Linked DNA regions of Ovis aries. The protein of the gene in region 1 binds, or shares a complex with, the protein of each later gene. Links are inferred from orthologs where the notes say so. Each region holds a gene or a part of one and is shown on either strand. Other genes may lie near its edges. The genes, in order: CRHR1, CRH, UCN and GNAS.

Evidence for each region.
Region 2: the proteins of CRHR1 (region 1) and CRH are in contact, whole or in part, in a cryo-EM structure (PDB 6P9X), measured with the Homo sapiens proteins. The link is inferred for Ovis aries from reciprocal best matches to the Homo sapiens genes CRHR1 and CRH. Residues at the interface, in NP_004373.2 of Homo sapiens: Lys113, Tyr116, His117, Ala119, Val120, Asn123, Trp169, Val172, Gln173, Met176, Ser177, Pro178, His181, Thr192, Tyr195, Asn196, His199, Phe203, Phe260, Gly261, Lys262, Tyr267, Tyr272, Gln273, Met276, Ile277, Leu280, Tyr327, Phe330, Phe331; in NP_000747.1 of Homo sapiens: Glu156, Pro157, Pro158, Ile159, Ser160, Leu161, Asp162, Leu163, Thr164, Phe165, His166, Leu167, Leu168, Arg169, Glu170, Leu172, Met174, Arg176.
Region 3: the proteins of CRHR1 (region 1) and UCN are in contact, whole or in part, in a cryo-EM structure (PDB 6PB0), measured with the Homo sapiens proteins. The link is inferred for Ovis aries from reciprocal best matches to the Homo sapiens genes CRHR1 and UCN. Residues at the interface, in NP_004373.2 of Homo sapiens: Leu106, Asn107, Glu109, Lys113, His117, Val120, Asn123, Trp169, Val172, Gln173, Ser177, Pro178, His181, Gln182, Thr192, Tyr195, Asn196, His199, Phe203, Phe260, Gly261, Lys262, Pro264, Tyr270, Tyr272, Gln273, Met276, Ile277, Tyr327, Phe330; in NP_003344.1 of Homo sapiens: Asn84, Pro85, Ser86, Leu87, Ser88, Ile89, Asp90, Leu91, Thr92, Phe93, His94, Leu95, Leu96, Arg97, Leu99, Leu100, Glu101, Leu102, Ala103, Arg104, Thr105, Gln106, Gln108, Arg109.
Region 4: the proteins of CRHR1 (region 1) and GNAS are in contact, whole or in part, in a cryo-EM structure (PDB 6P9X), measured with the Homo sapiens proteins. The link is inferred for Ovis aries from reciprocal best matches to the Homo sapiens genes CRHR1 and GNAS. Residues at the interface, in NP_004373.2 of Homo sapiens: Arg151, His155, Tyr212, Leu213, Ala216, Ile217, Leu219, Thr220, Tyr221, Asp224, Arg227, Ile290, Ile293, Leu294, Lys297, Leu298, Ala300, Ser301, Lys311, Lys314, Ala315, Val318, Leu319, Leu322, Phe362, Tyr363, Asn367, Ser368, Glu369; in NP_000507.1 of Homo sapiens: Gln35, Arg38, Ala39, His41, Val217, Phe219, Phe376, Cys379, Arg380, Asp381, Ile383, Gln384, Arg385, His387, Leu388, Gln390, Tyr391, Glu392, Leu393, Leu394.

The regions. Positions count from the first base shown.
Region 1 is NC_056064.1:45,562,942-45,570,310, forward strand, and holds part of CRHR1 (corticotropin-releasing factor receptor 1), read left to right. Parts: intron 1-2,221; coding exon 2,222-2,341; intron 2,342-7,218; coding exon 7,219-7,304; coding exon of another isoform or gene 7,305-7,309; intron 7,310-7,369.
Region 2 is NC_056062.1:43,567,083-43,574,891, forward strand, and holds the start of CRH (corticoliberin), read right to left. Parts: upstream 4,790-7,809; 5' UTR 4,786-4,789; coding exon 4,704-4,785; intron 1-4,703. UniProt on the Homo sapiens protein: Hormone regulating the release of corticotropin from pituitary gland. Induces NLRP6 in intestinal epithelial cells, hence may influence gut microbiota profile.
Region 3 is NC_056056.1:34,380,063-34,387,280, forward strand, and holds UCN (urocortin), read right to left. Parts: upstream 4,669-7,218; 5' UTR 3,871-4,668; intron 3,610-3,870; 5' UTR 3,597-3,609; coding exon 3,207-3,596; 3' UTR 3,047-3,206; downstream 1-3,046. Other genes in the region: TRIM54 (tripartite motif-containing protein 54), read left to right, coding at 409-504, 1,198-1,431, 1,700-1,722, 1,839-1,963, 2,098-2,190, 2,494-2,510; protein Mpv17, read right to left, coding at 7,056-7,218. UniProt on the Homo sapiens protein: Acts in vitro to stimulate the secretion of adrenocorticotropic hormone (ACTH). Binds with high affinity to CRF receptor types 1, 2-alpha, and 2-beta. Plays a role in the establishment of normal hearing thresholds.
Region 4 is NC_056066.1:57,156,604-57,163,972, forward strand, and holds part of GNAS (guanine nucleotide-binding protein G(s) subunit alpha isoforms XLas), read right to left. Parts: intron 3,196-7,369; coding exon 3,138-3,195; intron 3,052-3,137; coding exon 2,932-3,051; intron 1,154-2,931; coding exon 1,056-1,153; intron 1-1,055. UniProt on the Homo sapiens protein: Guanine nucleotide-binding proteins (G proteins) function as transducers in numerous signaling pathways controlled by G protein-coupled receptors (GPCRs).

The DNA.
Region 1 (7,369 bases):
TCCAACCCAGGGATTGAATCCAGGTCTTCTGCGTTGCAGGCAGATTCTTTACCGTCTGAGCCACTGGAAGCCCATGTAGATATACAGAAAGATGTAAAGCACTTGGCAGGCGCTTGGCACTCAGTCAGCTTTCAGTAAATACTGCTGCTTTCCCTACTGCCTCCTCGACTGTCCCACCCCCCAGATGGGCACGCAGTGTGGTATAATAGAGTACTCGATTTAGAGTCCAAAACACCTGGTGATGAGGCTTGGTTCTTTCATTCATTGGCTTATGGCCTTGGGCAAGTCACTTAACTTCCCTGGGCCTCAGTTTTCTCATCTGTAAAAAGGGAATAACAAATCTGTAAATTTTTAGACAGGGGGAGTAATGGCATTGCAGGGTGGATGAGGAGCAAACAAAATCATACATGAAGAAGGGCTTTGAAAAAGACAGCACGGTCCATAACGTTATCCCTCCCTCCCCACAGCCACACACCTGCGGCTTCTCGCCTTCTCCAGGCTCAGCTCTATCCGCAGGATCCAAGGCAGATTAAAATCTCAACCTGCTTTCCTCACTCCCCTACCCCCAGCACCTCTCTGTGATGCCATTCATGGAGGCGCCATGGTGGCACAGCGCCAGGGCTTGACCCACCTCCACCGCCTGGCTAGTCGTCTCCTTGTGTCCATTAAGCCCCAATTCCGAATTCTTTCTCTTTCAGTTAAAACACTTGGCCTCGAGGCCTCTGTCCTTTGAGCCTGGACTTGCCCACACACCCTATGAAAAGCTTTGGTTAAAAAGAAAAGCCAGCATTTGGTACAAGGGTTGCTCAGCACGTGTTGCATTCAGCAGGGAAGGGACGCCAGTCTAACCAGTGCTGTTTCCTGAGAGACTGGGCACAGGCCTGGCTGGGGAGGGGGTGGCAGGTGGGCCCCTGTAGGGCTTGGCAGCTGCTGATGCCCTGCGCTAGTGATGCTGCCCCTTCATTGGTTCATGGCTCTCCCTGGCTTGTCTGTGCAGTCTAGGGCCAGTCTTGAGTTATTAACCCCACTCCCGTCGTGATGGACACACTGGGCCTCCATAGGACTGGTGTGACAGCCTTGAGAGGAGGGGAGCCTGGAAAGGGGTAGAAAGAAGGGGCAGCATCAGGAGGGCGGCCAGGACTGTCCTCAGCCCAGCCCCCACCTGTTGGAGACCAAAAGCCCCTTGCCCTCCAGAAGTGTTACTATGACTTCAACTCTGCTCCAGTGTCCATGTGCGTGCACACACACACACACACACGACTCCAGAAGCTCTTAATTTTTAATTAAGGGCAAACATTTGGAAGGGGATTTTGACATCCTCTTTCTGGTCCAGTTGTTTATACCCTTTTTTGAGTCACAGACTCCCTTTGAGAATCTAATGCAAGCCATGGTCCCTTTCCCAATTAAAATGCATGTATAGAACAAATTTTTCATTAAATTTCAAAGTCTATAAGAACCTGTACAATTTCAAGTGGACTGAGATTAAGAATTTCTGATCAGATCCAACTACTTCATTATTGATAGGCCCAGAGGTGGCAAGTGACTTGCCTACACTCACACAGCAAATGAGTAGCAGAGCCCAGTCTGAAGCCTGGGTTCCGAATTACTACTTCAGTAATTCCCCACATAGTGTCTCTCTCCCTTTTTTCTCCATGATCCCTCTCAGCCAGTCCTTTCCTAGGTCCTTTCCTAGCATAGATTAGAGCACAAATGTTCAGTGATTGTGGTTATCAGGTGAGCTGGAAGGTGGGCCAACTTCTTTTAACTGGTTCCTACAGGTTCAGAGCAGATGTGGTTTGGTTCTAGAGGCGTGTAAGGGGACTGAGTCAGGGATTGGCTGGGTTTCTTCCAAGCTGTTCCAGGCTGTGAATTCTGAGCGCTCCAGTCTACACCAAGTGCAGGGCCAAGAGAAGTGTCCTCAGACTACAGAGCAGGGGACCTGGAGCATGTCCAGCCTTCCTCTAAATGCCAGCCAGGACCTCAGCTTTACCACCACCCCAGTGTCTCTGTTCCTCCTCTGCTCTGGAACCCACATTGGCTCCCTAGTGCCATAGCATCAAATTCAGATTCCTTCCCTTGGTATCTCCTCTGCAGAAAAAGAGCTCCTCTCTGCACTGGGGTCATTGCTGTCCTGTCCTCAGTTGGTGTGTGAATGTAGACTGGTTGGGGGGACACTGGAGTGGGGATGTTGCTCTGTCTCACCAGCCGTCTCTGCCTCCAGGACTGCAGTGCAATGCTTCCGTGGACCTTATTGGCACCTGCTGGCCCCAGAGTCCTGCAGGGCAGCTGGTGGTTCGACCCTGCCCTGCTTATTTCTATGGCGTCCGCTACAATACCACAAGTAAGGAAGCCTGAGAAAGGTAGACCGTCTCCTGGGAGGTGGGACAGGATGCAGAGAACTGGGGGCTTGTTGCAGGTGGGGAAAATAATACTGACAGTGACAGTAATAATACCAATACCATTCATGGGTACAGCTGCCATTGACCAAAGGCCAGCTGTGTGCTCTACTGGGCACTCTGCTATTTACTGCGGACACTCAGCAATACCCTGGAAGATGCTACATGTAACTATGTTATATAGTTAAGGCCTCCAAGGTTCAGAGAGATTAGGGAAGTTGCCCAAGATCACCAGCTGGTGAGACCGGAATTTGCATCCAGGTCTGACACTTTCTTCTGCAGTTGACCTGCTGGTTAATGTTGGCATGAGCCATGAGGTAGGGCAGGGGTCATCAGAGTAGCCCCAGCTTTGCTCAGAGAAGTTCCCAGGCCTAGCCAGGGTCCTCCAGCCATGAGGTAGGGGACTCAGGGTTTTAGATACACAGGCGGGGGGCTTGTCCTTGCAGGCAGGCCCACAAGTGGGGTGGGGACAGAGGAGAACTGATCCGGGCAGGGCTTGTTCAGATACTTGATCCTCACATAAACACCCTGCTCCCCTTGGGCCCTGAGCCTCCACCTCCAGGCTTTGCAGCTTCTTGCTATGCCACCTGTCACCCTCAGAATTAATTTGCTCTCCCCTGTCAATGACTCACAGCCCCTGCTTATCAAGAGAGCAACAGCTGCAGGCCAGGGGCCCTGACCTGTCTGGGGGGGGGCGGGGTCCCTGGGTGGGCCTTTGGGGTTTGGTGGGCCTGAGCTTAGAGCCCAAAGAGGGGACAGAAGGTGATCTCAGATACCAAATAATTGTGTGACCTTTAGCACATTTTTTTCCCCCTCTTTTATGGTCCTCTGGCCTCTCATCTGAGGATGGAGAGGGCTGGACAACACGGCTTCTTAAAACTTTGTCCAGCTCAAAACTCTCAATTTCCTTCTCCTGCCCCTCCCCTTTTCTACCAGCTGGATTAAGGGGGCTCGGGTGGGGGGCCACAGTCAAGGAGGGGTGGGGAGGGCCCTGGGGAGGTGTTGGGACTGGGCAGGAGGCTGGAACAGCCAGACCATGCAGCCTGGACCCAGGAGGAGAAGAGAGCCTGGAGGAGGTGTGAGGAGAATGTAAGTAGGAGGGAGGGCTGAAGGACCTGAAGAAAAGTTTGGGGTGCTCATCCTGCCAACCTCCAACTTAGTTGGGCCCCTTTTACCATTAGGAAATGGAGGCAGTGAGGCTGAAATCGCCCAAGGTCACAAAGCTTGGAGGTGGCACTGGAGCTGGGAAACCAGAGCCCTCCTGCTCCTCCACTCACCCGGCCGGGTGCCCGGCCCGGGAGCTCCCTGGAGGGAGGCAACACTAGGGCTGGTGTATGTTGGGGGGTGGGGGGCTACTTCCAAAAGGAGCCCCGCAGCCCCGCCCATGACAGCACCAGGTCCTGTCAGCTCCACCTCCAGAGTGATCCTCACGTCTGACCCTCCCTGCCTTCCATCCCCAGTGCCGCTGCCCCGGTTCAGGATACCTCACTTTCCAGTCCTCGTCTCTCATCCGACCCTGTCACACCCTTGCTTGGAGTCGACCTTTCTGTGGTTCCTTCTCTGTGGCTACCGTGCGACCTACCTTTGAGCCAGCCCTGGCCACTCCCCATGAACTGCCCCCACTCTTGTCCCCAAGGACAACTCGACAGCCCCCCAAATACACCATTAGTGCCTAGACACACGCTACTCGACTTGTCAGCCCTGCCTTTGAGTGGAAGCCAGGAGTCCTGGGTTCTAGTCCCAACTCCACACACACCTGGTTAAGGAGCCCTCTGCAACTGGCCCTGCCCGGGCCCTCAGTTTCTCCACCTGCAGGATGGGTGGGAGGTTTGGGTGAAGTGTTCTCTTGGCTCCCTTGCTCTTCCGTCTGTGATCCCAGGAGAAGAGCAGGAGAAGGTGATAATTCCTTGAGGTGGGGGCAGGGCTAGGAGACTCCCCTTTCCAGGTGCCTCCCCTGTCACAGTGATGAGAAACACCGCGTAATCAGGGGCAACTGGGAACCCAGATTTGTACCTAATCATTAGGCACCAGTTAATTCGTTTACCGAGGAGGTGCTGGCAGGACGTCTAGGCCTTCTCCCGAATGCCCTCCTTCCCACTGCATCTGATCTTCAAAGGGATGGGAAATATTTCCAAAAATATCAATTTTCCCGTGATTCTCCAGGAGGACTGCTCAGCTCAGCAATTAAAGACAAGGAGGTCGCATCCTCCCTGGAAACTTCATGCTGCCTGTTGGGCCTGTTTTCTTGTGGGATCACCTCACTTCCCACCAGAGCCTGCTCCCTCTGGATGATCCAGCCTGGGAGGGACTCCAGGCTCCTGCCCCACCTGCATTCAAAAGGGGGGGCTTGAGGCAAGGGGGTGCCTCCGGGACCTGTGCCTCCTTTGATAGCGACAAGTGGCATATTCTGAGTCTTATGTAAGGTTGTATAAATATAGCTCCAAGACAATAATAATAAAAGCAACAGCTCACACCACATGCCAAGTAGAGCTCCACATACCCTGTATGTGTCAACTAAAAACGCCTCTCAACCATTGAGCAGGAACTCTTGTTAAGATCATTCCTGTCTTGCAGATAAGGAAGCAGAGAGGCTGAAGGACTCGTCCAAGGTCACAGAGCTAGTAAAGGGTGCTGTCAGGATTTAAATCCAGGCTATCTAGGTGCTGTGCTAAATCGCCACAGTCATGTCCAGCTCTGTGCAATCTTGTAGACTGTAGCCCAGCAGGCTTCTCTGTCCATGAGATTTCCCAGGCAAGAATACTGGAGTGGGTTGCCACGCCCTCCTCCAGAGGATCTTCCCGACCCCGGTATTGAACTCACGTGTCTTATATCTCGTGCATTGGCAGGCGGGTTCTTTACCACTAGTACCACCTGGGAAGCCCTGTCTGGGTGACGAGCTCTTAACACTATAGTGTGCTGCCTCTCTTAAGGCAACGCCCCCTCCTCTGCCCATGCTTCTTCCCACCAGATTCTCTGGCACCAAGTCCCTTTGTTTGCAGACATCTGGGAACAGCCTCTGGTCCCAAGCACCTCCCATCCACCGCAGACACATAGGATTCCCCAGCTCCCTTGCCTCCCCCCAGGCCTCCCTGAAACCCCAGCCACGGAACCCTCAGCCCTCTGCCAGCTTCTCCCTCATTTAGCAATTAGGAGGGAATGAGCAGCATCTTCAACTCTGCCCAAGGGCTCAGCTCTGCCGGGACTTGGGTCCAATGGCTGGGAAGCCGAGCAGAGCTTTAAAAATCCATTTAGCCTCATTTCCCCGCTGGTGCTATGGGCGAGCAGCCTCTGAGCAGAAGGGTTTAGAGAGGAGGGAGAGCCAGGCAGCGGTTCCCGCTCCCAGGTAAGCGGCAGCAAATCCCACCCCCGCCCCCCAACACGCCGCCCCATCCTCTCCCTCTTGCCTGGTGCCTCCAGCAGAGGCATGTCCCAGGCTGGGCGGCACCCTGGGGATCGGCTGACGTAGCCCTCCCTCTTGCGCATGAGGAGAGCGCCCCAGGAGGCGACCTGACTGATGTTACTCATGCAGCAGGGGCCCCCATCTGCCTCCTGTGGGGTCCTCTGCCCCTGCAGGGTTCCAGGCTTGGGGACTGGGATCCGAGCAGCTTCCCCCGCCCTCCTCCAGCCCTGCTGGGGTGGAGATGTGACATGCAGGTCAGTGTGAGCCATGGAGAGCCCTCCAGAGGGGAGGGGCTCTGGTGGAAATGGCTTCCAGCCAGCGCTGCCTGGAGTCAGGGCCAGAATTCACTCAAGAAAACATATTTAGAGCCACCAATGCCTAAGAGGGGTCCAGAGTGGGGCAGAGCGATCTCTGCCAGCAAAGGAGAAAAGGTCAAGATGTGAATGTCCCTCAGACCCCTCCCACCTGGGCTTCAGGGCCCCAGTGTCCCCGGAGAGTGGGCAGGAAGGAGAGTGTCCCAGTGCGCTTTAGCCAGCCTCGGTTTAGACCTCAGATGATTCCCGATGTCCTTCGGAAGTGACACATTCTGGCTTCCAGGCTGGTGGCAGCCTCGACCTCTCGCCCCTCCCCCGGCCACTCTCCTGTCTTTTTTCCCAAGTGTCAGGCTGGGAGCCTGTTCGAGCAGATCTTAATAATCAAATACTTGCTACATGCGACCCACTCCCGTGACATCCCCCAGCACACCCCTCGTCTCCAGCCACCTGTCATTTTCTGCCCACCATGCTTGCTCGCACCGTGTGAGCCTCCAACATGAGGCCGGCTGTAGGGAAATGGCAGCCTGGAGCCCTTCCCTGCCCCCTGCCCTGAGAGCCCCATGCCCTGTGAAAGGACCCCCCAGAGGGTGGCTTACCATGGTGCGTCCTGCCCCACGAAGCCGGTCAGTGCACCGTGCCACGCGCACTGCCACCGCACACCGTCCGCATCACGCCTGGCCTCGAGAGCGGGAACTGAGTCATCAGGACTCACCCTTCAGCTTTGCTGCCACGTGAGACCCCAAAATGGGAGGTTTCTCAGCAGGGCGCCCACCGTGTAATCTGCGGGAGACAGCCCAGTGAGCCAGTCAGGCCTCTGCCCCTGGGCCAGTCCCGTGGGTGTGGGTGGGCACAGCCGTGGCGCATGGGCAGCCTTTGGGGTTGCCACTGCGCCTCTGTTAGTGGCCAGTGGCAGAAAAAGGCAGGAAAATGGAGATAATAAGAAAGCCCCCCTCCCCAGCTTCACCCTAGGGCCCCCAGCAAGCCAGCTCCTGGGCTGCCCCAGATGGACGGGTAGATGGACATACGAATGGCAGCTAGATAGATGCTCGGGTTACTCCTCTTTGGGAGCGGAGCCTGGGGTCATTCTGACTCGCCCTTCTTTTTCCAGACAATGGCTACCGGGAGTGCCTGGCCAATGGCACGTGGGCCGCTCGCGTGAACTACTCCGAGTGCCAAGAGATCCTCAGCGAGGAGGTGAGGCTCCAAGCCAGCTGCCCACTGAGGCCTGGGCCTGCGCCCCTGGCACAGCTCTGTGCCTG
Region 2 (7,809 bases), on another chromosome or scaffold:
TGTCATCTGGATCAAAGATACACTCCATATTCTTTATGAATAAAAACATGTTACCAATTAATGCTGAGCTGCTCAGGAGAAGTAAAACCAACATAGATTCCTTTCAGTACTAGAGCAGGGATGTAAAGCTGTCTCTTTACTGTTACGGTTAATCTGATCAGGCTGAGGATATTTTGGCACTTTTCTGCCTCTGGAGTCATCTGAAGGAGGCTTCAGGCAGTAGCAGTGATGTGCCAGGAAGCCTAATGGCAGCTTTTGCTCCCACACAAACTCCAGACAGGAAGACTCACACCCAACCTCTCCAACCCTTAGGCCCCTGGAAAGTGGCCAGGGGAAGACATCTTGCAGGCTGTTCACCTAACTCTCAGCAGGTTCCCTTGCCAGGCTAGGCATACTGGGCATACTTGTATTCTGTGACCCACCCCCCTGGCTATGGTGACCTAGTCTGGGCCAGAGCTGGAAATTTGGAGTCAGGGCTGAGTGTCCAGTTTCAGTCTGGGCTGGCCCCTGGAACAAAGGAGTTACAAAGACCCAAGGGCTGTGAATACAGTCATTTTCTGCTAAGTGGACTGAGAAGTAGAGAAAGCCAGTGTAGGGAAAGGGAGCAGGAAGTGTCTGTAGACAAGAGAAAATAGAGACAAGGGAGGGGCTTCCTGGGTCCCCTCACCTGACCCTCTCTGCTCCCTCTCTCCAACACTCTCCCCTCCTGCCCTGGACCCTTGTCCACGGTAAATGGATGACTGGACACTCAGATCCCAGGGAGCTCTCCTGCACCTGACCGGCCCTCCTGGACTTGGTTGAATGCTGGCTGGGATGCCGCTGATCTCAGCACAGCTTTACTCTTCTCGCCCTTGGTCATGAGGCACGTACCACCTCGTGTCCCCAGCACCTAGACATGCGCAACACGTATGCACTGAGTGAACAGACATCACCTTCTCTGAAGGCATCTCAGGGAGGTTGCTCATTCACTGGCTTCCCACACAACATGGGTATTCTTCATGAATATTCCCCGTTGCTTCTTCTAGACACGACTCCTCCTCCCTTGTAAACCCAAAAAGCACAAACAAAAAACCAACAACTTCTCTCTGACATCACAGTCATCCACCCATCTAGACCTCCTTCTTCAAATCAAGCTCTCCCCCTCCTAACATGGGCCCTCTTCAGTCCACAGTCTGATTCCATCCAGCAATAACTTCAGGGTTTCACAGAAGCATTTCAGGGTAAATTCAGGCATGGCCTGGCGAAAACTAAACTGTCAAGTTGAGGGTAACTGTATGGTTGAGACTAGACGTACTAAACAAAGAGGGGACTTGAGTCAATCCTGCTGAGTTTGGCTCACGTAAGCAGCTAAAATAGAAGAGTCAACTTTGAGAGGAGTGCCTCAGTTCCCCACTAAAATCGAACTGAGTGGACATTATAGCTTTTGGCATCTAAGACAAGAACTTACTTTGCACTGTGAATAACACCCCGAATCCTTTCTATTTGATCAGCAGCAAGACAAAACAAGATCATCCATCTACCCCACAGTACAGAGCCAAGATAGAACGATGCCTCAGGAATGATGATGAGAGTGCTGGTGGGAGTGATCTAGTCTCGTCCTGTAAGGCTCTCATGACCTCTGTGTAGTTTAAACAAGTAAACCCTTCTGAGGAGATGTACTGCAAAGAAAGTTGCAATTATACACACATGTAGCTGCCTGCACCTCTCTTCAAACCCCTTTTATTTCTTGGTCCCTATGTAACTTGACAGTTGTGCATGTGGAAAATGATTAGGAAAGGGAGAGCTTCTCCCTACAGAACCAGAAAGCAGGTCAGCAGGGAGTGGATCTCCTGCCAACAGCAGAGATTCAGGCAGGGGTGGAGGGAGGGAGGTTGGGGCGGGGAGTCAGCGTAGGTCGGAGGGGGGGCACCTGCCCATCTTAACAGGCAGGGTGTAATTGCCTGTGCTTTCCCAGGGCCTTAGCACCATTCCTGAAAAAGTGGTGGGTTGGAATGGGTTGGCATTTGAGAATCAGCCACTCTGGTCCCCAGTTGCTGCCCACTGCTTCTTGGGTGAGAGGAATCACGCAGGTGGTTCAGAGAAGACATTTCTCCCAGGTGGCCCTGACTGATAATATTACAGTTTACACAGGGCCAAGCAATATGCCCTCACCCTTGACCAAATTCAGGTACTTCCAGGGGAGCTCCAGTGACAGGTGAACACAGGTCTGCAGAGTCACACCCACATACACACACGCACACACTGTTCTTGCCCCGCCCTCCCCACCTGGAGCAGCTCCAGCCTGTGATACAAAGAAGCCCTGGATGCTCATAGGAGGATGGGATGGCAGTGATGTTTCCTCTTGCTCATTAGTCTTGGCAGTTGCTAAACTCTCAAGGTCAAAATTTACATATCAAAATCAAATGGCAAAATTCTCCAAATCATATACATCTGACTTTCCATGTCACTATATCATATGAATTATGTGCCACTGTATAGCTCAAAAGCATGTAACTGACCCATAAAATCTTTAATGTTCCAACTGTCCATCTCAGGAAATACCAACCAAAGTAGAAACAACACTCTGCATGAACTTCCCTTTTCAATTTGCATCCTCACCCAGATATCCAACCAAGCACATGAGCATGTCTAAACCTATGCTGGTGGCCACACTGCGAGCTGACTTCAGATGAGCCATTACTAGGCCTGCCCTCACTTCCAAGCCACATCTCTTGGAACATCGACGCCCACTCTCCTCCCACTCCACTCCTCAATATGTCTGCTAAGGAGAGGGCCTGGTCCCTTTTCCTGAAAAACGTAGAGTTGTCTGCAAATATAACATGTCTGACTCCAACCAAATGACAACCTAAATTGTTTCTAGAAAGCTCGAGGCAAATTTATCAGATGGTTGCCAAAGTCTGTGCTTTACTCAGAAGCAGCAACATGTGGCCTGACTGAACCATTTCCAGCAAGACACTCTGCTGATGCTGCTAAGTCGCTGCAGTCGTGTCCAACTCTGTGCGACCCCATAGACAGCAGCCCACCAGGCTCTCCCGTCCCTGGGATTCTCCAGGCGAGAGTACTGGAGTGGGTTGCCACTGCCTTCTCCGCAAGACACTCTATAGTTATTCGTAAACCCAACAGATGAGGGGTCCATTCAGGCAAGGCTGGACGGGGTACATGCCACTGCTGATGGGGGAAAAGGGAAACAGGAGCAGCAAGACTCCCCTCCTCAAACAGGAAAGCGTGGGGGGGGCGGCTAGATCGGGCCTTACAGTGCGTGCTTGGAAAGCTCAGTTTTATGCCCTATTCAAGAGCTTTTGACAAGTTAATTTTGATTTAAACTAATATCCTCCCAGTTTTAGATTAAAATAATCTACATAGCAATATTCATTATTAGCATTGTTTATAATCATGAAAAGCTAGAAGCCTATGCAGGAGACAACAAAGCAAAATAAAACAACTCCACTCAATGGACTATTAGGACATAATTAAACAAGGATTCTGAAGGAATCCTTGAAGGAATGTTGTATTAAGGAAAATGCTTAGAATACAATGCTAAATCAAAAGGCAAAGGGAATAAAGCTGTGCATAATATATGTCATGATTTCACACTTTAAAATAACACAATGCAAAGAAAAATAGAGGCTAGGAGACAGTTCACCAAAATGTAAATGGTGGATACATTTAGGTGGTCAGATTACAGTTTCTTTTTCTTTCCACATACCTCTGTTTTCCAAATTTAATGAACATTACAACTTTTAAAGACCTTATTTTGTTATAAATATGTATTTGAAGATATAAGTCAACCATCTCAAACACCGCACTATAAAGATCCCAGGGAATCAAAAGATGCAGGTAAGAGAATTACCGTATGAAACCAACCTATGCATCTAAGGGAAGATGAGGGAAGGCTGAAGTGAGTTAGAAGCTGTTCATCTGATGGAAGATGAGGAAAACCTGCAGTGATTTAGACGTTCCTGGAAGCCCTCTTGGGGGGTGGGGACCACCATGGCACTTAGGCTGCCTTTCTCCTTTCTCCCTTCTGCTTTACCACAGGGAAATAAAGAGTCAAACAGCACTTGTCTACTGAGAACAAGAAGCTGTACACTGAAAGGCTGCCTTCGCCCGGTGCATTTTTAATTTTGCTATTTCCAGATCTGAAACTCTCAGGAACTTAAGAGTCAGACCTCGGGCACCTTTAATATCCTAAAAGAACTACAATTCCAGAAGAGGTTTTTAATTCATTAGAAGATTGCATTCCTGCACACTATCACCTCTCTGTGGAAAGGAAGCAACTTTATTATTGCAAATACAATGCCTAGCACAGTACTTCCTACCAAAGGGTAGGAAACATATTTGTTGAATGAATGCTTTTAAAATACTATCTTTTCTTAGAAACGGGGCTAGCCTAGGCAGAAATTGAAGTCAGTTCAAGGTTACCAAAAATTAACTATATTGTGGTATTTGGTTTTTAACTTGCTATATGTTATTTAGACAAATTCACTATTTTAATTATTTAAGAATTGGTCAAATTAACGTGTCCTGTCATCTTTAACACAATGGTTTGCACACAAAAGTAAATGAAGCTGACGCCACCATCCATCTAGGGCAACTTCCGTGGATCACAGACTGCAAAGTAAGCAACAACCTGTGGAACACCACCCCTGTAAACCCAAAATGGAATGATGACAACAGACCCTAACCACTCCCAAGAAGCCTACCTGTGGGCCAGACAGCTGGTTCCGGAACTGGAAGGAAAACAGCAGCAGCCGCTTTGCAACCTCCCAGTCGACGGCGAGACATTCATGGCGCCTGGTCTCCCATGATGCCTTGCTCCTAGGCCCTTCTAACAGGCACCACCTGGAAGCCCAATTCAAAGTTGCTTTACAACGTCATTGGTTTCTAGCAATAGTTTGTGGGCTACACAGCTCAAAGATTTAAGTGACAGTTTTCTATGCTGTCAGCTCTTCAGCTTTCTGCTATCTCCTCAAAGAAGGGCTCTGTTGATTCTTCTGAATAAATATGAAATAATGATACTCAAAATCCTTTAAATAGGTGAACTTCTGGGAGGTTTCCAGTGCTCTCTCATTTAGTATCAGACCCTCTGTCAGAGAATCAGAATTGGGTAAGGGGGTGGAGACAGAAAAAAACCTTTATGGAAATAGGATTCTTGAGTTTAGCCATACAGTAGGGTAGCGTCTCCTCTTTCTGAGATGCTTTAAAATAATTCAAACTGAATGCAGAAGACAGAGTGGATGGTCTTTTAAGCATTCTCCATCTTCAAGAGGTTGGCCACTAACGAGTTTCAGGAGGAAATTGTACCTGTCATTTGATGGCCAATTCAATTCTAACACATTTCTAAAACATCAGACACAGATTTTCATACAGATAATGACCTTATAGCTTTCTCATCCACTTAAACCTACTGGTTGATTTTATCTCCTAGTTATTAAGTACCTTCAACCCTTCCTCCAACTGTTTTGTTTCCTTGAATCCTTTCATTCAATCCAAGTCCGTGTGAATGCACACTGTGTCTTCTGCAATGAAGAGGGTTCTCTTCCACTTAAATCATATAGTCCTTTAAAAAGGAGGATTATTAACCACTATGTCTTGGTCAAATTCAACATGAGGACTTCCTTGGTGGTCCCCTGCTTAAGAATTTTGCCAATGCAGGGGACACAGGTTTGATCCCTGATCAGGGAAGATCCCACATGCCGCAGGGCAACTAAGCCCGTGCACCACAACTACTGAGCCAGTGCTTCTAGAGCCGGTGCTCTACAACAAGAGAAGCCACCACAACGAGAAGCCTGCACACTGCAATAAAGAACAGCCCCTGCTTGTACAACTAGAGAAAGCCATCGAGCAGAAACGAAGACCCAGTGCAACCAAAAATAAATTTAAAAATTTTAAATTCCAATGTGGAAAATTACATTTTCCCTCCCTCCAGTTTTCCCTGTCATTTTAACTAGAGGCACTGTTTAATATCCCACTCAAAATAAAACCTGTTGTAGAGAGGGCTACCTTTAAGGGGCCTGCCTTTTCTAGTACAGAGGAGACGGCATTTCAGAGACGTGTGACTAATACTCCAGGGGTAGGAGCTAAGAACATTGGGATCCTTTGGGAGTAGAGGTAGCGCCAAAGGATCAAATTGATTTTTATTTATGCCTGCGGTAGACTATAAGACAGATTTTTCCCTCCAGCGTTTTGCAGCATCTTCTGAGATTCAGAATCAAGGCAAGAGCTGCCTGGTGATACTGTGTGGATGACGCATTCCGTGGAGCTGACTCTATGACATCATGTCATCCTGTTCTCAGTTAGAGCAGGCTGATGTGCCTGCCCCGCACACCCCAACCCTGTGAGTCACTGTGTGATAGATGGTCCAGGAAATGCAAAATGATGCTCTTCTGAAAACTTACAATTGAAAAATTGAGGCTTCCAGCCAGAGAATGTAGAGAGAAAAAAGTAAACTCTCAGGAGGGGCAGGTTCTCATTTCTGTTTTTCTTTTCACTGTTGTTTAAGTATGAAATCCTACAAGGGACTGTAGTTTATAAATAATTGTTGCTAGTGGTTTTGTCATTGATGTTTTATTGCCTCAAAAATGAAGTTTAATTTTCCACTAACTATAACTTCGTTCTGAACAGCTATGCCACCCCATATCCTAAGGAGTTTTATCATCAAAAATGACAGACTATCTATGTGTGCATTGTGAACACTGAATAAAGTTGGCTGTATAAGCTCCACTTGTGCCTGAAGAATCCTGTAATACAAAATAATCTGATGCATACAAACTTACAGTGGATTTGAATAATGATAAAACAAAATATCAAGGATAATCTACTTAAGAAAAAGTTAAAATTTGGTCTTATCCAAATAGTTCCAATCCAAAGGTAGGGGAGGGATCACATGATGGACCTCAAACAGTGAGAATTCAAAGTTTAAAATCTTTTCCTCTTTTGTCTCTACCTCCCAAATGTCAGTAAATAAAAGAATTAATAAACCAAAGACCCAGTGAACAAAAACTGCAGAGAAAAAGAAACAGCAGAGATTAATGAAACCAAGATGTTAACAAGGATAGAATCTTTTTCTGGCAAGGTTGACCTTTCCAGCCCAGCTCATAGTACTTCTTACTCCTGTAGCTTAAGACGCAAGGACATTCAGACAAATTAGCAAGAGCCCAAAGCCCCAGGGTTGGAAAGCAATCACGTGGAAAGCACACACTAGATACCTTCCCTTGCCTCAAAATCACTATCCTTCTCCTGCTAGAAATGCACTGTTAGTGGGCAGGACAGTGTCATGTTGGACTTTGGATGCTATGGGCTTGGTTTGGACCAGTCAGTCAGTCAGTCAGTTCAGTCGCTCAGTCTTGTCCAACTCTTTGCGACCCCATGAATCGCAGCACGCCAGGCCTCCCTGTCCATCACCATCTCCCGGAGTTCACTCAAACTCAAATCCATCGAGTCAGTGATGTCATCCAGCCATCTCATCCTCTGTCGTCCCCTTCTCCTCCTGCCCCTAATCCCTCCCAGCATCAGAGTCTTTTCCAGTGAGTCAGCTCTTCACATGAGGGGGCCAAAGTACTGGAGTTTCAACTTCAGCATCAGTCCCTCCAAAGAAATCCCAGGGCTAATCTCCTTCAGAATGGACTGGTTGGATCTCCTTGCAGTCCAAGGGACTCTCAAGAGTCTTCTCCAACACCACAGTTCAAAAACATCAATTCTTCAGCACTCAGCTTTCTTCACAGTCCAACTCTCACACCCATACATGACCACTGGAAAACCATAGCCTTGACTAGACGGACCTTTGTTGGCAAAGTAATGTACCAACAT
Region 3 (7,218 bases), on another chromosome or scaffold:
ATATTAGGTACTCTGATTAGATATCAGAGTCTCAGAATGAGAGAATAAAGAGAATGCAGAAGAGGCAATATTATCTTAAAGGAAAATCCTGAAGACTTTTTCAAAATTGATGGAAGATAAAGCATGCAGCCCAGTGTGTGGTATTTGGTGGATATTTGGTGAATGTCTCTTTCTCACTTGGTGGTGGAGGACTTCCTCTCTCCACTTCCTTCCAGAATTTATAGACTGTGCTTCCAAACTTCTTGAATGGTTCCAAACTCTCTAGATCTCTGTCAGAGTTTCCCTGAGGATGCCCTGATGGTGGAGTGGAGGGGACAGTCCTCTCCTGGGTAGCCCTGGTGAGGGAGGGAGGGGCTTAGCTCCAGACCAGGTCCTCCAGCCCTGAGTGCTGGCCTCTGTGTGTGGCAGAGTGAGCTCAGCGATGGCATCGCGATGCTGGTGGCCGGCAATGACCGTGTGCAAGCAGTGATCACACAGATGGAGGAGGTGTGCCAGACCATCGAGGTGAGCCTGGAAAGGGAGGGAGGGAAAGTTGCTGGGCTACTGGAGGTGAATCACAAGTAGTAGAATGTGCTTACCCAGGCTGCTAGGTTTGAATCCCAGCTCTGTCCTCCTCTGTGACTTTGGTCCAGTGACTTAACTTCTTAGTGTTTGGGTTTGCTTGTTTTTAACTACGTAAAAGAGTGATGATGAGAATGATATGATGGCTACCTCCATGGATCTTTTTGAGAATTAAGTGAGATAATACAAACAAAAACCAGAGTCAGAGAATTAGGCAGCAGCACTCAATGAAACTCCTTTAAATATATAGTGTTATTTTCTGAGAGAGTAGATCTTAAAAGTTCCCATCACAGGGAAAAATTTTTGTCCACTATGTATGGTGCTGGATGTTAACTAGACATATTGTGGTGATCCGTTCACAACATATACAAATATTGGATCATTATGTTGTACACCTGAAGCTAGTATGTTATATGTCAATTAAACCTCAACAAAGTATATATCAGTATTATTACTGAAAAGATCTGGGAACCAGCAGCCCTTGGGTGGAGTCCGGTCTCTGCCACTAATTTGTGGTTGTAATTGACGGGTCACATCTCTTCTTGGCTCCCCGTGACTGCCATTAAGTGGGGAGTGGGACAAGTAGCCTGGTACTCTCCCAGCTGTGAGGTCTCATCCTTACTCCTGGTTTTTCAGGAAAACAGCCGGAGGCAGAAGCAGTTGCTGAACCAGAGGTTTGAGGGCCTGTGTGCAGTGCTGGAGGAGCGGAAGGGTGAGCTGCTGCAGGCGCTGGCCCGGGAGCAGGAGGAGAAGCTGCAGCGAGTCAGGGGCCTCATCCGCCAGTACGGAGACCACCTGGAGGCCTCCTCTAAGCTGGTGGAGTCTGCCATCCAGTCCATGGAGGAGCCGCAGATGGCACTCTACCTGCAGGTGGGCCCTGGGGGGAGGGGGGCGGGCAGTGGCAGGCCACCTAGTGGCTGGAGTGGGGGCCTTTGCACTGGGAAGCCGGGTTCAAGTCTTACCTCTGGCTCCTACTTGCCCCGTGGCTTTGGGCAAGTCACCCTCTCTATCCATTTTTTTCCTTAACAAATTGGGACATGCATCCCCCCTAACCCGCAGGACAGTGGTGGGCATCAGAAATGGGATATTGCTGGACGTTGGCACAGTGCTTACTCTCACCCTCCTTTCTTCCCTGCAGCAGGCCAAGGAGTTGATCAATAAGTGAGTAGGTGAAGCGGGAAGGGAGAGGAAGGGGTGGGCGGGGACTCCACTGACAAGGGTGGGAAGCGGGGGTAGTGGTGCTGGGAGTCTCTAGCTGAGCCGCTGGGCTGCTGCAGGGTCGGGACGATGTCGAAGGTGGAGCTGGCCGGCCGGCCGGAGCCGGGCTATGAAAGAATGGATCAATTCACCCTGAGCGTGGAGCATGTGGCGGAAATGCTGAGGACCATTGACTTCCAGCCAGGTGAGGAAGCCAGGATGGGAGGGAGCGGCCAGCCGCTAGGACTGGGCGTCCAGACCCTCTGGGTCTGGGAGGGATGGGGGTAAGACGGCCAGAGAATAAGGGACCCCAACTCACCCAGCCTTCTCCTGGCCTAGGCACTTCTGGAGAGGAAGAGGATGAGGAGGTCGCGGTAGAAGGGGAAGAGGGCAACGCAGGAGCAGAGGAAGAGCGGACGGATGGGCGGGAAAGTGAGTGTGGACATCGGCGGGGCCTGGCGGGGACCCCCTTCCACCGTCGGGCCATCGTACTCTCGGGGGCATTAGGGATCGCTTGGAGCCCCTACTCCCAACCTCAACCAGGAGGGGCGCGCCCTCTAGCGCGCCGGCCCAAGTACAACTTTCTTTAACACTATCCATCTCTCTGGGCTGGTGGGAGACCGGGTTAGGTGGGGAAGTGAAGGAGAAACCCTCCTGCTTAGAGAAACGAGTGAGCTGGGCTTCGGAATTGCCTTGTTTCTTGGGAGCGCCCGCCCACTGAGCTTTCTTTCCCAGGCACAGGCCAGCACTGACTCGCTCCTGTTGCGGATCCTGCGCACCCGGGTCCTGGCGCTCGGATGGTGAACGACCTGAGCAGAGACCACCGTACCACCCAGCCCGGCGTGGCGCCGCGGGGGAGGGGCTCAATAAAGAGTTAATGCGTCCCGACCCGCAGCTCCTTTCACTGCTCACTCTCTGAGCTTCTGCTTCGGAGACATAGCATCACCATCCATCCTGCCCTTCTCCAAATCTGGGACCTCTTGGGGCGAGGACGGGTGGGGGTGGGGTGTGTGAAGCGGAACGAACCCTTATGGGGCACCTCCTTGACATTAGGCACGGATTCGCGAGCCCAGAGCCAAGAGAAGAGGGCAGGGGGGTGGGGCGGCGACACTGGGGCTTGACTTCCTGGAGACTTGGAGACGATGGGGACCCCAGGACCCTGGCAGAAAGCGGTTCTCACGGAGCCCTCCCACAGCATCTGGTTCCCTCTCGCCGGCCTGGGAGACCCCACTTCCCCGCGGGCTCACACCCTTCTGTGGCTCCCCGCGCCCCCACAACAGAGGCCAACGGCTCTTCAGCACTTTTATTAAAAACCGGTAACGCGGAGAGTGCTCAGGGTATCCCTAGGCCGCTCTAGCCCTGCAGGACTTGGTCAGTTCCTGTCGCTCACGTCTCAACCCTGAGGTGGAGCATGGGGGTCGAGATTGTCGGGGCCCGAGACCCGCCGATCACTTGCCCACCGAGTCGAATATGATGCGGTTCTGCTCGGCGCGCTCCCTCTGGCTCTGCGTCCGCGCGAGTTCCAGCAGGGTCCGTAGTAGGTGGAAGGTGAGGTCAATGGACAGGGGAGGGTCGTCTCGTCGCTGCCGCTCACCTGCCGTCCTGGATCCCCATCGGCCCTGCTCCGCCCGGCGGCGCGGGAAGCGCTCCGCCAGCAGCAAGAGGAGAGCGTGGGCCCCGCCGCCGTGGTTCCGAGTCCCGGGGCTCCAGCGCAGACTCGGATCTCGGAACCCGGCGGCCGCCGCCTCCTCCTCCCGACTCCACTGGCTGCTCCCCGGGCGCAGCTGTGCCAGGAGCAGCAGCGCGGCCAGCAATGCCGCGCGTCCCGCCGTCCTCATGGTCCCGCCGGCCCTGGACACACAGGGGCAGCGCAGTGTGAGGTGCGCCTCGGGCAGTCTCAGGGGACGCCGCTCCCCTTCCCGAGCACGTCCAGCGCCCCTGCCCGGCCCCTGCGACTGCCGTCAGGTGCCCACAGCCTTCCCACCAGCCCCAGCCGCTCCCAGTCCTGTGCCACCCTTTTCTCCCTGCCTCCTTCTTGGGGTGTCGCGTTGGGTGAGCTGAGCGCTGTCCTAGTGCTGAGGGAGTCTGGGCAGACGCGCAGAAGCCACTCACAGTTCGCAGGAGAGCAGAGCCTCTGCACCCTGCAGGATGGAGCTCCAGTCTCTGTCCCTCGGGGAGGGCTGAGGGCGCCACGGGGAACACGGGGTCTGTCCCGGGACCTTCGCCAGCCTTATATAGCGCCAGAACAGCTCCGGCTGACGTCAGCGAGGAACATGCACTGATTGTAGAGCAATGACGGCCGCAACTCTGAGTCCGACCCTATGGCTGCGAGACCCCAGGAGCGCGCCGGAGGACACCAGACTTTGTGTCTCTGGAAATGACACTGGACTCAAGAGAAAGAGAAGCCTTCTGGGGCGTAAAGATTGCTCTGGGAGCCACGAGAGTCCTTCACTCACTTAGAACAGCCAGCAGGGACTAGGGGGACCGGTCAGTCCCCAGACTAGTCCAGATCTCCAACCTTCTCTGGAACAGGAAAGGGAGGCAGGACGGTGGTGCTGTCCATGGTGCTGACCTTGTGCTCAGCCTCTGAAAGGGGCCAGAGACCTTGGGGAAAATGCTGTGCTGCTCAGATCCAGTCCCTTGCCCCAACTATCTGTTCTATAAATGGAGGCAGTCAGGATGGCACTGCTAGCATTCAGCTACCACAATGGTACCCTACCCAAAAGGCAGTTTGAGCTGCCAGGATTCTTGATCTTCTTCCAGCCCCAGGATCTAAATCCTAGGGCTGTCTGTCCGACGTGCCTAAAAAAGAGGGCCTCTCGAGCCGGGGTGCTTTCAGATAACAAAGGCTGATCCATCTGCTTCTTGGTTTGCCTCAAAGCTGAAGTTTAGCCAAGTTAAATTTTCTCCTGGGAATCACAGCAGCAATATTATTTTATCGCAGACCTCTAGGTTAAGATCACTGAGTAGGAAGTAAGAAAACTTGGCTTCTTAGTCTTTTTGAGCTGGTATAACAAAAATATCAAAAGCTGGGTGGCTTATAAACAACAAGCATTTATTTCACCACAGTTCTTGAGGCCAGGAAGTCCAAGATCACAGTACCAGTAGGTTTACTGTCCACTGAGGACCTGCTTCTTCCTGTCTTCTCAGGTGGCCTCTTTTGTAAGCACCAGGTCCCTACCCTCATGACCGAATCACTTCCCAAAGGTCTCACCTCTGATACCATCACCTTGGGCATTAGGTTTTCACCATATGAACTTGGGGAGATACAAACATTCAAATGATGATAGCACATGTTCGTGTTTCTACTCTGCCACTAACTCACAGTGTGGACAGGTCACTTTACTTCTATGGACCTCAGTGTCCTCATCTGTAATAGAAGATTGGGGTTTGGGGGTCTCCAGACTTCTTTCCAAACCCTGGAAAATGAGACTCCCCAGTCATTTTCTGCTGGGTCTTACTCATTGCCTCTGCAGCTTCCAGATTACCTATTTAGAAATATATTTACAGAGGCACCCTATAGAGAGTTTGAGGGGATCTCCCCCAAATTGGAGCTACACTGAGGCTGGGAAGGGTTAGGAAAACAGCTGTCTATGAAGACTGGGGAAAAGTGGCATCTTCCAGGATGAGCGTATAATCTAAAGTTGACAAAATGATGTTTCAACAAATATTTATGGAGTGCCTACTGTGTGGTGCGTTTTAGCCATTTCAATAGGAGTCAGGTTACATTTTAGAGTGAAATGGGCCATTTCAGGGTGCTAACCCCATTAAATTCTGACCAGCCACCGAACCCTGTGAAGACCAATGTGCCCACTTTGAAGAGGTGGTCTGATCCTTCCAGGGTCAAGGTGCATCACTACAAGATGGAAGTGACGGAGTGAAGCCGACTTAGAGCCGGTGTGCCTTCCAGGACAGGTAGGAGTTCCAGATAACAGCAACACACTGGACCACAGCCAACCTAAGGAACAGGGACAGTGGCATGAAGAAGAGGAAGTATAAGGAAGAAGCCAAGGGGAGAGGGGGGAAAGTGCAGCAGACAAAGGGTGAATATCTCCAAGAATGTCCAGATCTAGGTCTCCTTCCTTCAGCCCCCATGGAGGGATGTGTGGCTCAGATGAGAGGACAACCAGCTCAGGTGCTTGTGCTGGCCCAGAGCTCTGTCTCCTGGACAAGAGTCTCAAAGTTAACTGCCCCCCAGCAGCCATTTTGCCATGCATGGCTTTATCCATACTCTATCCAAGCTCCTTCTAAATACACATCTGTCTTGTACAGCTGAGATCTCATCTTCCAAAAATGTGCTGCCTGCCATATAAAGCAGCACCTCCTTCTCTTTACTTTAAATATACTTCACTCTAGTTTCAAAGAGCATTGCCAGGACTCTAAAGTTTGATTTGGTTCATAAGTCTGTATTCCTTTTAGTTATGCTATTCATGTCCATTCTGACCTTGTCTCCTCTAAGAGTTTCATGATTTCCCCTGTTCCCAAAGCCCCCTCACCTCCAATAATTTTAACCACTCATCCTGTTTCCACTATATTTATTTTTATTGAGTTTTCAGCCACTACCCTGATTATTTAGGATAAAATAATATTTTTCAGTGGACTAACCTGACCATGTTCCTACTTGACTCTGGTCTACCTTTCTGCCTAACCTAGGCTGTAATACTGTCCCTACAGTCAGGCCATCAAAGGTAGAGAGCCCAGGTGGGATGGAGATGAGGGCTGTGGAGCAAGATCCTCCCTAGGAAGATGAGATGTCAGTAGGCAGATGCTCTGGGATGTTCTATAACATAAGAGATTCTGAACAAAGTGCTCAGGAGTCTGAGGAGCTCTGACCAGGGCAGGGTGTTCTGGATGGGGGCAGGGGCAGGGCGTGTTATAAGGTAGTTCAAGGTTAAAAATGAGGATCACTTTGTCTCTGTTTGTAATATGCATCTTCCTTGAAGCGTGGGGTGGGGATCTGCCATACCTGTAATGAAGAGGAACCAGGTAGAAGTTGGCCAACTGCACGGCAGGCCAGAGCTACGAGAGAGAGAAGGGAAAGGTTGGGGGGCTGCCTCCATCTCCCAACGCCAGTCTCAAGGCCTTGCCTGGTCTGACTCCAGCTTCTCCAGACAGGAACACATGGCACTGAGTGAGTGCTTCCCTGACTATGGTGCCCACATGGGCATGAGGGAGTAATCCCAATGGAGGGATTTCTGTGTCAGGAGGACCCCTGATCCCTGGGCATTTCTGGACTCAAGAAAGCAGAAGCAGCAGCTGAGGTGCCAGCTCTTACATAGTAGTTGGTGATGAGAGCATCAGGAAAGTCCTGAGGAGACAAGAGAAGGAACAAGTGAACACCAGCACTTTCGGGCACCTTGGACCTCCCAGTGCCAACTGCCAACTGGTGTGAGTATCACACACAGACATCTGCTCAGAGAAGACACCACTGCACCACGGCGCCCCAGCTCCTCCCCTCCA
Region 4 (7,369 bases), on another chromosome or scaffold:
TTGCTTTGTGTTTGCAGTTGGAGTGCTGTCACCTCTTCCTCCCTCCTGTTTATTCAAGTGGTTTTCATAAGTTCCTCAGGCGTGGGGCTCCTAAGTAATGCAATTTTAGCTTTCTGTGAGCCAGCCGGGTACCGTGTTTCTGGTTACTTAATATTTTCAATAGCAAAATTGTGTGTGTTTCAGTTACTTACATAAGAGAGGCTGAAACATCACAAATATCTCTTGCCCTTCCCCCAGTCATAAAAGACAATCCAACTTAAGAATATATGATAACTGAGACCGCTGAGTACATTTGTGCAACATCAGCAAACAAACGATACCTTTAAAATATCTTTTATGGCTCTGAACATCACATATTTGCTATATTATGTACAGGATAAGCAAGGTTGTAAACTATTTAAAAAGCAACTTTCCAGCTGTGTTTATCACATCCACTGGAAGAGAGCCCATGAAGGGACACAGCAAGGACCCCATGGGGGGAGCATCCTCGAATTAAGCCCAGTGTGAATGAATCAATAAGGATAGGAGATGGAATTCAACACAATACCCAACTCTAGATGAACTAGACATATTGGACTCTAGCAGCTACTACAGTCACTTACCTGATAGTAGAAATACTGGACTGGCCACGAAGGAGGGGGGAGGCATATTTTTGCCACACTGTTCCTCTTTGTCACGTTTTAAATTATAGCAATAAAATACAATACTTCTACCTTATCCAAAGTGTGAAAGCTGTCCTATCTCCCCACATGCTTGGAGGTCAATTCAATTAATTACTTCAAGGTAATTAATTATGAACATCACTTTACTGCAGGTAATTATCATTTTGCTCTACCAGGCATTACCTGTTTGTATAAAAATAATGTCACTGCACTAAAAAGTACAATTAAGGGCTTTATAAAACCAGTGAATTGGACTACAACTTTCAAACTGCAGGCTGGCTTCTCTGAAAAGAAGTAACTTAAACAGTGTGAGTTGTGGTTTTTAGGATGTTCTCCATGCGCTCGTGTTTGTGTGTGTGCGCGTGCACGCTGATGCGGAGACAGTGTACTTACTACTGGGCGCAGTCAATCAGCTGGTACTCATTGGAGCGCTCATAGCAGGCACGCACCCCTTCATCCTCCCAGAGAGCCTTGGCATGCTCATAGAATTCCTGGAAGTGAACAAGAGAGGGAATGTTTAGACACAGGGGCTGCTCCCAGTCAGTGAGACCAGAGTTCACCCTGCCACCAACCCTGGGTGCAATTATTCCGTTTCGAGGCAAACTAAGGAGTCAGTGTTCATAAAGAACTTCAGCGTGCTACACGTATTTGGAAATTGACACCAGCTGATCTCTTTCTGTGGATTACTGGTCTTGGGTAGTTTTCATTCTGTACTTTTTTGGGAATGGGATGAAGGGCCAAACTGAACTACTGAATAAGTTTCTTTCCTCACCCAATTGCTTACCTAGGAGGAATACAAGCTAATTAGGAGACTTTGCCAATAAATGATTTGATGTCATGGAGGTAAGACATCTCATTTATGAAGATGTGATGAGACCGCAATTTTCCTTCCAGGAAAATGTGAATTTTAGCAAAAAATATTATAATTGGGAGCTATTGGCAAATCTGACCTTGTCAGTCAATGCCTATCAATCAAAGGAGCAAATGACCTCTGCCTAGTTTTAAACTGCAATAGGTCACGGTTCATATGTCATTTGACGTAAAAACATTTTTAATTATATGGGGCAATCTCCCCTTACAAGGGAAGGAAAGGTTTTTCTGCAATATGAATGCAGCAAGAAAAGGGTCAAAAGCTAAACAGGAGGACCCTTAAGAGTCACCATCCTGGTGCATTTTCTCCTGTTAGAGCTACAGAATCACAGAAGAGTCTGTGTTGGGCATTATGTATGCTGTGTTTACTGCTGGACTCTTCTTTTATTTCTTCCTATTTAAGAAAATTTACCTAGCCATACTTATTAATACTGCTTCCTGGATAGGAGAAGTTTGCAGCCAAACACATTTAAAATATACAAACACAAATTCCCACGAAATCCTGACAAAAGGCAACAATAAGTCATTGTTTTTGCTGTAGACAAGTCTTTTCCTTTTGGACCTTATAAACTTGCCCATCTTTCCACCGTATTTCCTGTTCCCCTCTTATAAACTATTCTTCCCTCACTAAGGGTCAAAACATATATATATATATATATATATATATATATATATATATGCTTAGGGCATGGGCAGTTCTCTGTTCCCTAAAAATAGTTCTTTACAGAGCCAACAAATCTGTGCAAAAAGTGTCCTGCACGTCAGCCAGGGAACAGAGAAGACAATCCCTGTGTTATGACATTTAGGTGAGGGCCTTTTGTAATTTTTTTTTAATTAATGAGAAAAGACTTCATTTAGCCAAAGGACTGATTCTAGAAAAAAAATTAACAAAAGTTAAATGGCAAGTTGTTTAAAATGAGAATATCTCCCATTTATAAAACTCAGCGCTGGCACTTCATTTCTCATTCCTTGATATCTCAGAATAGTTTCAATCGCTAGACGATTAGCATTTCTGTGCCATACTCAACATACAGTACTTTGTCACAAGATGTGTATACGGGAATAATTAAGGCTGCCACAACTCATGACTTTTTCTTCTGTGAAAATTTACAGTCCAATCCAGTGGGAATTGTAGTATTGAATTGGGATGTTTACTTGTGGAGAGGAGTCAAGACTGACAAGGGGTGACATAACTTTGCTCCTCCATCTTGACTAAAGCCCTAATGATTATTGCTAGCTGTTGCTGTCATTTAAAGAATAAGGATTCTTAATGGGTTAACTGTTTCCTAACAGTGTCAAAGAAATGGATTTTGCTGGCAGTGTGCAAACTGAGTTTTGTGGCAGAGTAGGGGGAGGGGGGCCCCTGGTGGTGTGGGGAGGGGGTGCAGGCTTGGCTTACGGGAGGGAAATCAAAATCCGGCACGTTCATCACGCTCAGAATGTAATCCACTCTGAACTGGTTCTCTGGGTTGGCCAGCTCCACAGGGGGCACCAGGTTGCTCATGGCGGCCACGATGGTCTGAAAATGATGGAGCAAAGGTCAGGGGGAGAGCACTGTCTGAAAGGGAGGCTAAAAGAAACGACAGAAAAGGACCAGGCACGTACTTCAATGGCCTCTTTCAGGTTGTTTTTGATGTCCTGCACTTTGGTGGCCTTCTCACTACAGTGGGATTGAAAAGAAAAAAAAAAATCATATTGCATCACGTTGACTCACAGTGTCGTTTCAATCACGACTTTCCAACTAAAATAGTATTCTGTTCTTGAAGGAGTGGTGGGTTCAGATCTGTGCTTAGGTTGGAGGTTCCTGAACAATGGTGGTTTCAAATGATAACCATCCATTGTGTCCTGAGGACACGCCCAAGTAGGGCAGAATCCCAAGCATCTAGATAAGGATTGTGGCTACTGTACCAGAAGTGTGGCCTGGTTATTTACTATTCAGAGGGGCTTCCACCCTCTTGTGGCCCCCCCTGCATACCAGCACTTCCTAAAAGTTCCTACTGGCCTTTATTAGCATCCCTACTGAGGTTTCAGTTGCTCAGTTGTGACTCTTTGCGACCCCATGGACTGCAGCACGCCAGGCATCCCTGTCCCGAAGCTTTTGGTGGGAGCGGTAAAGTGTTACTGTAGGGTTAGGGAGGTGCGGAAAGGTCATGGTGTGCCTTGGGGCTTCTTCAGTCACTGGATTAGCATAGGGATCAGCAGTGAATGAAATGTAGGTGGTAGTGTTAATTACAGACTTAAGGGCCCTATTTATTGGAATAGTCACTGTGTGTCCCTCGATGTGGCCAGCAGCAGTGGACAATATTTCTAGTTGATGATGTTCATATACATTGATCCCTCGATGTGAATACAGTAAAATGGAATTCTGCCACCCCTCCCTGAAAGTCTTTTAAGATCTGGGACTTACGAGGGGAAGGGGAGGGAGGCGGTGTGGCCTATGCCCCACGGTTAAGTAGATGTTAGTGCCTTCATCACTTTTTGATTTTAACTTGCACACCTGGCAGGGCACGTGTGGTCTGTGTGGAACCAGCTACTTTCAGGGTCCCTGGGGCCACAGGTAAAGGCCCTTTGACTCTGGGGAACCCTGACATTGTGCTTGTCCCTGTGTCTTCAGACACTGTCCATCATCAAACACAGCCAAGAAAGATTCTTTGGGGCTGTGTTCTTGCCACAGTATTGCCCAGAGTGGGTCACCTGTGGGCTAGGGGATTGGACCACACCCAGGACACACCTACTGAGTATCAGGTCCTGGGAGGTGACAGTAGTGTCACAAAGATGGAAGGTGCTGTCCTCAGGGGAGGGGCTGAGGGTCCCGGTGACAGAGGCAGGAGGGGGACAGGGCTTATATTTTTCTTGCTGGGGATTTTTAAAATAAATCTCTGGAATCCAGTTGATGTATTCACGGGGTTAATTCACCTACAGTACTGGGATGGAGGTAGAAATTAAACACGTAGCCCCTCAGCAGGGGCAGGACACGACAGGACATTAGCGTAGAGGACAAGCGGGGAGGGGATGTTAACAGCAAGAGCAGCCTAGCCGGGAGGTCAGTGTGACGTGGGGAGGGGGAGGCAGCTCCAGGGCCGGGGGTGGGGTGGGTTGTGTGGCCATGTGATCGCCTGCAAAGCCCCGCCCCCCGGAGAACTTGGCCTTTCACCCTTTCAAAATAAGCCTTTTGCATATTCCTTTGAGCGGTGGGCCCTTGTTTTCCGAGTGATCTCATTTCTTCCTTTCCCCAGGGTGCAACTGGCCTCCGAGTCTCGTATCTGAATGGGGGGAGCTAGTTGGAGGTACTGCCCTCATCAGGGGCTGAAGAGGTGTATGCTTTGCGGGTGCAGGGCTACAGATGGTACCAGGAACCCCCTCATGGCTTTTAATAAAAGTGCTGCAAGGCGGGAGAACTCCAGGAGAGCTGTGCTGCCAACCAGAAGTGGGGGATTTGTGCCCCAAACCCCTGACTCTTAATGCAACCAGCATCGATATAAAGGGATCTCATCCTGACCCCCTCTGTGAGTTTGTGAGTTTCTGAAATTCCCAATCGTGTCCCGACTTGGCGCTACGGCCTAAATCAGGTATTTAGACATTGTAGTTTTAAACGGACATGTTTGTTCCCAAATTGCACACAGAAATTCAAAGTTAAAACCCCACAAGACAGTCTCATTCCCATTCATTAGAAAGAAGCTCCATTTCCATGGTAATGAGCGCCTTGGAGCTTTGGTTTTAAGGTCCCACAACAGTTAAAATCATGTATGTCTGGGTATTAATGCCCAAATGAGCCCAAAGCAAGAGAAAAGTTATTTCCAGAAACCTGGTTCTTTCATTCAGGTTGATATTTTGGTCTAAGTAGTAGTATGGTAATTGGAAAACTTCCAGTCTTAAATACGGATATTCTGAGAATGTGCTCAGTATTCATCTACGTATGTGAATAGGTGTGGGAGTATATCAAGTATAAAACAGCTAAAATAGAAATCTGAAATCTAATTCGGGTGTGTAATACTAAAACAAAAATTCCTCCATTGAAGCAATTACTATGTAGATGGAGATATTATACTGGGGGTTGGCAGGTTTATCATAACTTTTACTATCGATTAATGAATTTAACATTGATTGTGACAGCCTCTGATAAAGTTCCTCATATGTTTTTGAAGTAATGAAAGCCAAAATGTATATCAACTACATACAGAATTCGGATGGATGAAAAGTGGGGGCTGGAAGTACTGTTGGATTTTGTAACCCCCCCCCTCCCCGCTACCCGCAGAATATATAAAGCCTGAGATCACGGCTGCTTTATATGCTGGGTTCAAATTTTAAGAGATGGCCACCCCCTCCTCCAAGTGTTAGGGGAAGGCTATGTTGTATACTGACTTCTATACCTTTTTATCTTTATGCTTTTTTTCTTTTGGTGGGCAGACAGACGAAAGAAGAAAGACAGAAGACAGACGCAAGATACAGGGATTGCTGAGACATGCAGAGAATTTTTATTTATCACATTTGTTAATACTTAAGTTTTAACTTGTAGAACAGAGTCACAGATAGAAGAGCAGGCTGTTAGTAGGTATTAGTAGGGTTCAGTCAGGGATCTAGCATAGCATCTAGGAAGTATACAGGTGGTGGTTCAATAGGGAGGTGGTTCAATAGAGAGGGGTCACAGCTCCCAAATGCCAACTTTTGGTACAGTAAGCTGTCAATCACTGTTTATGTAGATGCTTTGGGTGGTTGATACACTATGTATTTGTCAATTAGGGATTACTTTTTTTTTGCTTTTTGTTTTTTTTTTTTTTTTTTTTAATTTTTTTTCAGTTATCTTTAGAGGTTAGGTGTTGGGGCCCCATCCCCCCACCCCCCACAACAGAATAGTATTCTTATTAGAAGTTCCTAAGACGGGCAATTCCAGCATGCAAAGTGTGATAGGACATAGCCGGGAAGATGAGAAATTGAAGCCATCATCTAGGGGTTATATAGTCTAAAAAAAACAGATGAACAAACATGTGTCAGTTACTTGGTCCCGACCCCCATCTCCTTTGCCCCTCCCCTCCCAAGCCACAGAAGCTATTTTTGAGGTGCCCTAGGCTAGGTCAGTTGGCTCTGCATGTTCTCAGGACAAAGACCTGCTCCCTCACTGCATGCTGAATACGCAGAGCAGTGCTTGGAGAGGGTTACCTGGCATGCGTGTATGTACGTGTGCATGAGTGTGATGGGCAGTGCGGATGCAGGAAGTGAAGGAAAAAAAATAATTTGATAATGAATGGAAAAAGATGGAGGCCATCATTAATTTCCTGTCCACTGGATAAAATGACAATTTTAAAAAGACCAGAGACTTTTCGAGATCATTCTCAATAATGACCTCCCTCCTCCTCAAGGTGCCAAGCATTTATCTCCCCCCGCCCAATTAAGGACGGTGCGGCACCACGTATTTTAATAGAGATAAAAAGATTTTTTTTTTCCCCCCAAAGAGGTCTGAAATCTTAACATCAGACCAGCCACAGGGTAGACAGAATTTAGTAGTTTTAAAAACAAGTAGCCAGTTTTTAAAACAAGTAGCCAATTCAAATGGAGAGCTGGGGGTGGGGGATAGAAACCGTCTATGTTTGAAATCCTAAATTGACCGTCTTAATGCTGAACGCTACAGCTTTCCCCCAGCTGAATCTAACTATACCTTAAGGATGGCAAAAAAAAAAAAAAAAAAAATTGTTTTGCACTTCACTTGCTCTGAAATGACAAGAAATTGTGTTGTTTGCAAATGTATATACCAAGATGGCTGATGGCCTTAAATGATTTTGGTTTTCTTCCCGGGTCTCTGTGTCCTGTTTCCCAGTATGAGCTTTGTGTTTGTCAGGTGT